Drosophila melanogaster: one gene and its partner. The protein of the gene in region 2 interacts with the protein of the main gene of each other region in a pairwise test. Each region holds a gene or a part of one and is shown on either strand. Other genes may lie near its edges.

The links.
Region 1: the proteins of CG7148 (region 2) and SkpB interact in a two-hybrid assay, tested with the Drosophila melanogaster proteins (2 studies listed by BioGRID).

What each region holds. Positions count from the first base shown.
Region 1 is NT_033778.4:12,138,529-12,142,180, forward strand, and holds SkpB (SKP1-related B), read right to left. Parts: upstream 1,702-3,652; 5' UTR 1,457-1,701; intron 1,399-1,456; 5' UTR 1,397-1,398; coding exon 911-1,396; 3' UTR 767-910; downstream 1-766. Other genes in the region: CG18343 (uncharacterized protein), read left to right, coding at 330-629; Smyd4-4 (SET and MYND domain containing, class 4, member 4), read left to right, coding at 2,423-2,686, 2,743-3,652.
Region 2 is NT_037436.4:21,829,757-21,833,960, forward strand, and holds CG7148 (uncharacterized protein), read right to left. Parts: upstream 2,498-4,204; 5' UTR 2,341-2,497; coding exon 1,790-2,340; intron 1,731-1,789; coding exon 1,034-1,730; intron 977-1,033; coding exon 860-976; 3' UTR 788-859; downstream 1-787. Other genes in the region: Nopp140, read left to right, coding at 3,123-3,221, 3,424-4,204.

The DNA of each region.
Region 1 (3,652 bases), on a different chromosome or scaffold from region 2:
CCGACATTTATACGGACGGACAGACAGGCGTACTCGGCTATTGATCCTGATCAAGAATATATATACTTTTTATGGTCGGAAACGCTTCCTTCTGCCTGATACATAATTTTCAACGAATCTAGTATACCTTTTACTCTACGAGTAACGTTTATAAAAATTCTATCCATTTCTCATACCTCGATGTTTTGAAAAAATGCAGTGCTGCCACTACGATCGAAATGCGGTCACACTAGACAGCTGATTTTTTCCAACTGGAAGATTTGCTTTGCACACTGGACAAAGGAAATGTCCCATTTGTCGGCTTATCCAGCATATACGTCAGTCTAAACATGGAGAAAAGCTGCAGTATTGGCAACGGACGGGAGCAATACGGCTGGGGACATGGCGAACAATGCGGCACGCAGTTCCTTGAATGTGTCTACAGGAACGCGTCCATGTACTCTGTTCTGGGCGATCTGATCACATACGTGGTGTTCCTGGGGGCTACGTGCTACGCAATACTTTTCGGCTTCCGACTGTTGCTGTCCTGCGTGCGAATCGTCCTCAAAGTGGTTATCGCCCTCTTCGTCATCCGATTGCTGCTAGCTTTGGGCTCCGTCGACATCACATCTGTTAGCTATTCCGGGTGAAGTGACCAATCTGGCGAATGCCATCGGGACCACGGCCTTTAAACTACATTAACTAAATCAAATATAAATTCCAAATTGAAGAACACTGTAAATTACATTAAACGGTTTGTCATTAATTCCTTTGTTAAAGAGCACTTGCCAACATTAAAGCATAATATTTTATTTAATTAACCCAACAGAACAATTGCTGACTCTTAACATGATCAGCTAACTATCTCAATTGAAATGTTGATTAAACAAAAAATTTAAGCTTTAATTTCGTCATGGTAAGTTGATGGTATTCATTTATCCTCACACCACTCGTTCTCCTTGCGCACCTGTTCCTCCTCCTGTGGCAGAAAGTCATTCTGGATGGCGAAGGTGTCGCGAATAGCCTGCGGCGACTTGCCCTTGATCATATTGGCCACCGTCTTGCAGGTGACGTCGAGCAGACCCTGGATATTCAGGTAGTTTGCCGCGAGGATCAGTTCGAACAGCGTGCCCTGGTCGACTTTGAGAAAGTCAGCGTCCCAGGATGAGATGTCATCAGTGCGCTTCTCCTTGTTCTCAACCTCTTCGGTAACCACAGGATCGTCCTTGTGATAGGTGGCCCAGTGGAGCACTTTCTTCAGGATCAGCGAGTTGACATTCGGCAACGGCAGCACACTGTTGTCGCTCTCATCGCCCAAATCCTCTATTGCAATGCGAATCGTTTCCGAGCACTTGGCGATCTCCTGATCCGTGTCAAAGATCTCCTTGTCCGCAGACTCCAGCCGAATGATGGGCATCTCTGCGTAAAAATTTTTATTTTTGCTTATATCTATATTTTCAATTTTATTCGTACACACCTCCTGCTGATTTGGATCCCAAGATTTGATACGAAATCGGTTTGATTTATTTGCAGACGCAGCCAAACAAAATTTTTAGACACAACACGATGTCACTTAGCTGTGGCCTACTGGCTAAAAATAATATTCCCTTGCCTTCAACTTGAACCGGACTGGTGCGGCGGCCGCCTGAGAACAGAGCGTTTGTTAAATAAAGAACTTGGCTGCCAATAATTCCCCGGATTCTTAGAAAACTAGAACGTCGTACGATTTGAAGAGGAAATTTGTTAGTGAAACGGCCGCCAGTGTGCACATACTCGGAATGGCTTTAAAAGATGGCGCCTATTACAGTTAATGGTGTGGAGACACTGTGACAGCTAGCGGTAAACAAAAGCTCAGTTATATTTTTTTATAATGTATATATATATATTTTTTTTAAACATATATATTTTGGCACAATTCAAGCGTGCTGGGCGTTGTATTATTTAAACAGAAACCTACAAAATTCTGCCTTTATAGTTAGTTTTTATCCTGTTTTTATTTAATGAATTTCAAATTTCAAATATTTTTGTAAACAATTTTAAGCTAGGCCAAGGGTTTGTGTCGCGGCTAGTGCAAGCAGTCAACTTGCGGCATTTTTTAGTACATTTCCCTCTGTGCTGGGTTATATATTCGCAGGCTATACTCCACACTGCTTCCAGCGGAATCGTCAAAAAAATAACATTAAAATCGCCGTGTGCATAATTAGAATATTTCCGAATAGTAATCGCCCGTGAAATCGCTAATTAGCGGTCAGCACTTGCGCCAGTTAAAGAAATCGCGGCACCGGCAGTGGGCCAAAAGAACATTTTTTCCGGCTGAAAAAAACAGGCGGCGGCGTCGACACGCGGACCGAACCAAAGGATCCGAAGCCATCCGATCAGATCTAATCCGATCCGGAGAAAATTCCAGGACACTAAGGACTTCCGAAACTACCCCGCACAAGAGATGGACGTGTACGACGTGAGCGATGATCTGATAAAGAAGCTGCAGGACTGGAAACTAATCGGCATCATATCCGGCAAGTTCAACGAGCTGAAGGAGAACCATCGCAAGGTTGACTTCGTGATGCGCGCTCTTATTGACTTCAAGTACATTGAAAAGATATTCCTGAATGTAACGCTTCGAGAGGACAAGTGCAACAAGCGGAGCGTGGAGTTCCGTATGCTGGGCAACGAGCAGTTTTCGCTCAAGAACAGGAATTACTTCCAGGTAATCATTGCCCCCTCAATCGGCAAACTTAAGCTAATCCCTGCGACTCGTTTCAGGCTCTAGAGCTGTACAACAAAAGCATCTGTTATGCCGAACCGAATTCGGAGCACCTGTCCATCGGCTATGCTAATCGGTCGGCGGTACTATTCGAGTGGAAGCGCTATCGGCAATGCCTGGACAATATCAAGCTGGCAAGGCAGGCCAACTATCCGGCGAGACTGAGCCACAAACTAGACAAGCGAGAAAGGGACTGCCAACAGCTACTCGATCAGCAACCGCCGGATGTGGTGCCCTATGAGTTCAAGCTCAGTTTCGAACCGCATGCCCAGGTGCCCTTCATCGCCGACTGTTTGGAGTTGCGCGAAACCGCCGCCGAGGGTCGCTTTGTGGTGACCAATCGGGATTTGGCCGTTGGGGATCTTGTGTCCGTGGAGGAGCCCTTCTGCTCCACACTGCTGACGCCGATGCGATACATTCGGTGTGCCACCTGCAAGCGGGAGAACTATCTGACCCTCATACCCTGCGACAGCTGCTGTTCCACGATGTTCTGCTCCGAGGAGTGCAAGTCGATTGCCATGCAAACCTATCACCGCTACGAGTGCCCCATCATTGACTTTCTGAACCGCATGTTCAACAAGATCCACTGTATCGCACTGCGCACCACACTGGTCGCGCTGAATATCTTTCCCAGCATCGAGGAGCTAATTGACTTCTGTGAGCAGGAGCAGAACCAGGACAAGTGCGCCTTTGACCTCAACTACAACGAGCTGACGCCGGAGGAGCACTACCGGGCCATCCATGGACTGGTGACAAACCAGCACCTGCGCTCCGTCTCCGATCTCTTCCAGCGCTCCGTGGTCTGTGCTGTGCTCAAGCACTTCATAATCGAATACACACCCGTCAAGGAATATTTGGGCGGCGAAGAAGGCGTGAACTTCTTCACGGACCTCCTGTTCCGACATCTGC
Region 2 (4,204 bases):
TCCTGAGCGCGGATGTTTTCCTGTTCATAAAAATGTCGGTGTGCTCTGACCAGGCGTAGCTTTTCCTCTTGGAAAAGTCTGACGGTACGGGGGCTTAACCTTCCGGCTGGGCTCCTCAGCGGGCCAGTCAGTTCCGGCTTACTATACGAAGAAGCCGCGTGTTCATTGGAGTTCTCCCCAGGGAACTCGAGTATGTCTCCGCTTGAAACCGCTTTGCAGTCTTCTATGGTAACTGGAAACTGGACTCGGTTTAGCTAGGTGAAGGACATTAAGGAATCCGTACTCACAATCGCTGTCCGAGTTTTCACCTATCGTATCATTGTTCCTCAGGATCTGCCTGATATGTACAGCACTGTTTTCTTATGCTCTGAATTCAAAAACGTTTTTCAGCTTGAAATGTCAAATTTAATAATTTTTGCCTGCAGATTAGATATCCATAGGAGCGGGAGTTACACTATCGATTGCATTATAGTTTTTGGGGAAACAACAAGTTGACTTCCAAACTACAAATTATATCTTACAGTTATTATACCTGGCAGTAGCAATATACATATTATCAGGGGTATTCAGCTAGCTATTTCATAGCTATAAATGATTCCCAGGGAACAAAGGTAAAAATGTTGCACGTTATCGTCAGCTCATTTTCATATTTATTTTATTAAAACAAATTTATTTAAATAATTTAACTACGGTGCTCTTTGTCACTACGTGAAGGACAGCCTTAGAAAACAACACGGAAGTCCGCATGGAGCACTCAAAACTTTGAAATAATAATCCAATTTGGCGTACTTTGTGCAACATAAATTTTAATAATAAATTATTGTATGAATCTACGCTTGTATATTTACATATTTTGAGGTCAGTGAAATTCAAATTGGTATCCGCGGTCCACAAAGCTCAGACCGCGTTCCGAGTCGACTGGAAAGTCGGCGGTGAAGACAATATATCCTCTATATTCCAAAGAGCTCTTTAGGTTCTGCAATGGATTGATTGATTAGATAAAAGAAGAGCGACATAAACAAGAAATAGTAACCGCTCTATCCACAAAGTCCTCAAAGCCACTTAGGTCGTAGTAGAGCTTCAGAGGTGGCGAACGTCCAACTCCCGTCTTCTGCTTGAACGGCTCCCGCCGCTTAAGAATACTCAAGGCCCGTGGCAAAAATGTTGGCGTCAGATTTCGGCAGTAGGACACGTCGAGGTGTTCCAATCGTGGACAGAGTTCCACGAATTCTAAGAGGATTTCGTCGCTTAGGTCATTCCAGTTGCGCACGCAGAGCAGCTGCAGCTCTGTCATACAGGTATAGCGCTTTAGGTAGTCTGCCGAATGAGTCCAGCTGCAAATGGCCAGGCGCTTCAGCCTGCGATGCGTCCAGATGGGCAGCTTCTCATCCCAGCCCGGTTCAAGGGGCATATAGTACCCGTCCACGGCAAAGCCGACGATGTCCTTGGCCTTGAAAGCCATGATCTCGTAGAACTCGCTGACCTCGCGGATCTTGTGGTCATAGCTATCCGGACTGACCAGCGGGGGGATATGCCACTCGTTGTCCAGCAGCACCACCAGTTTCCTGAGGGAGGGCAGCTCCAGAACGGCGGGTAGAATGGGTTTCAAGGTGGCCAGATTGAGCTTAAGATCAGTGAGGTTCTTAAAGCTCTGCAGGCAGTTTCCCAGCTGAAGTTTACTGATCATATCGTACGTCCTAATGTCCAGGACCCGAAGATCGTGCAGCGTGCTGTGGCGCAAACGGAAAATGAGTTGCGAAATATTATGCAGCAGAAGGTTACTACTTACCGGCACACCTCGTCCAGGTACTTCTGCTGCAGCTCAAACGCCTTGTGCTGGTCCTCGTAGAGGTGCAGCTCCTGCAGGTGCTGGAAGTTGGATAGGTACCGCCCGTCGATGGGTGTGGTAAGGCGCAACTTTTTCAAGCCCGGCAGCAGGCGGGCCAGCTTGCGGATGCTTCGGTTCGTGGGATAGCAATCGACGCCGTCTGGGTCGTAGTAGAAGCTGGTCACCATGGGCAGCTCTGCAATGTGCATTTCGTCCAGATCTTTTAGAATGGAGCACAGACAGCTGCTGCCGCCCATTTCTCTGATGTACGGACGCATTTGGGTTAGGAAGTAGACCAGGTCTTCATGATTGGGCAACAGTACCCGCCACTTCTCCAGATCCAGTTGCTCGTAGGCATGGCTGGTGCGCCACTTGCTCAGACATATGTACTGCACTCGCCGGCAAGTCCTCGCGAAGGACACTTCCGACGGCAGGTCCTGCAAGCGATCGAAAATCTCGGCCAGACAGTCGTCGTCCAATTGCAGAATTAGGGATCTCGGCTCGGAAGCCATGGCCCGGGATGCGATCCTCGCGACACAATCTAGGTACAGAGTCTGTTAAAATAGCCGGAGCGAGAGATAGTTTCTGTATTCTGGATCGTTTCAAGCAGGTCAACTCAATTGAATAACAAACAAAAATACATTTTGGTGCTCCCCCAATGTGACCAGTCGTGGATGGTCTGAATACCTCACGCAAAAAACGTAGGTTCCTTACATTATGTTATATATACGCTAATTGTTTGAATACAATTTAATAATACAGTTTAGTAATTTATATATATATACATAGACATATAGACATATATATATATAACAAATTTAACAATACAAATTTATTGTTATATATGTCTATGTATATATATATATATATATATATATATATATATATACAAAACTAAAATTACAAATTTATTGTTATATATGTCTACATATATACATATACATATATATATATACATATATATATATACATAGACATATATAACAATAAATTTGTAATTTTAGTTTTGTCTAACGTAGCCTAGCGTTATTTCTAATTTCAAGATCTTTGTCGGTGTGGCATAAATAAATGATTACAATTGATTGGCATTTTCGAGTTATTCTTGGGAAGAATACCCGCTGCATTGACAGTGTTGAGAAACGGGGTGCAGGGGTGGCCACACCGTTGGCAGCCGCGTAGTGCTGCCATACCACTGATAAGTAGAAAACACGTGTGAGTGCGCATTCTTTTTTGTGGGACAAGCGGCTAGTAATTATTTGCGGACGGAAAATATTGACGAATAGTTGAATTAATCATGACAGACCTGCTAAAGATAGCCGATGCAATCGTCCTGGAGTACTTGCAGTCCAAGGACAAGAACCTAGCCAAGGTTTTCCAGCAGAAGACGAAGGCGGTAAGTTTCAGTGCAGAGCGGCAAGTGCAATATGTGCGGTTTGGATGCACCCGAAACATGTGGTATCTGCGTCCTCCTGATCTAGAATCCGAGGGCCTTGCTGTCCGCCGATGGCTCATCGAGCTGTCCACCTGCCACTTGCTGCAAGTGCCACGTGCTTCGTCCAGATAACCAAGAATTTCTGCCTTTTTCTAACTTGCAGGCCAGTGTCGCCAAAAGCAGCCCAAAGTTGAGTGAAATCCTTCAGTTCTACCAGACCAAAAGCCCCAAAAAGATCCCAGCAATCAAGGCGACAGCCGGAGACTCCAGCGAAGACAGCGACTCAGACTCTGAGTCTGATGCGGCGCCTAAGAAGCCAGCGACAGCTCCTGCACTAACAAACGGCAAGGCTGTCAAAAAGGCAGCTTCTTCAACCAGCGAGGACAGCGATTCAGAGGAGGAGAAGAAGCCAGCAGCAAAGGCCACGCCGGCCAAGGCTGTCGGCAAGAAGGCAAAATCCTCCAGCGAGGACAGTTCCTCGGAGGAAGAAGCACCCAAAAAAGCTGCTCCAGTGAAGGCACCTCCGGCCAAGGCGGCTCCCGCGAAGAAGGTTGAGTCCAGCAGCGAGGATAGCAGTTCCGAGGAAGAACCGGCAAAGCCCGCCGTCAAGGCCACAACGACTAAGGTTGCTCCCGCCAAGAAGGCCGACTCCAGCAGCGAAGAAAGCAGCTCCGATGAGGAGACTAAGCCAGCTGCCAAGCCTGTAGCCAAGGCTGCACCGGCAAAGAAAGCAGCATCCTCCAGCGAGGAAAGCGACTCCGATGACGAGCCAGCCGCCAAGAAGCCTGCCGTCCAGCCTGCCGCAAAGCCAGCTCCTAAGGCAGCCGCTTCTAGTTCCGAAGACAGCAGCTCAGAGGAGGAGGTCAAACCCGCTGCTAAATCTGCTGCCAAGTTGGCTCCTGCTAAGAAGGGGGCTTCCTCTAGTGATGATAGTTCCTCTGAAG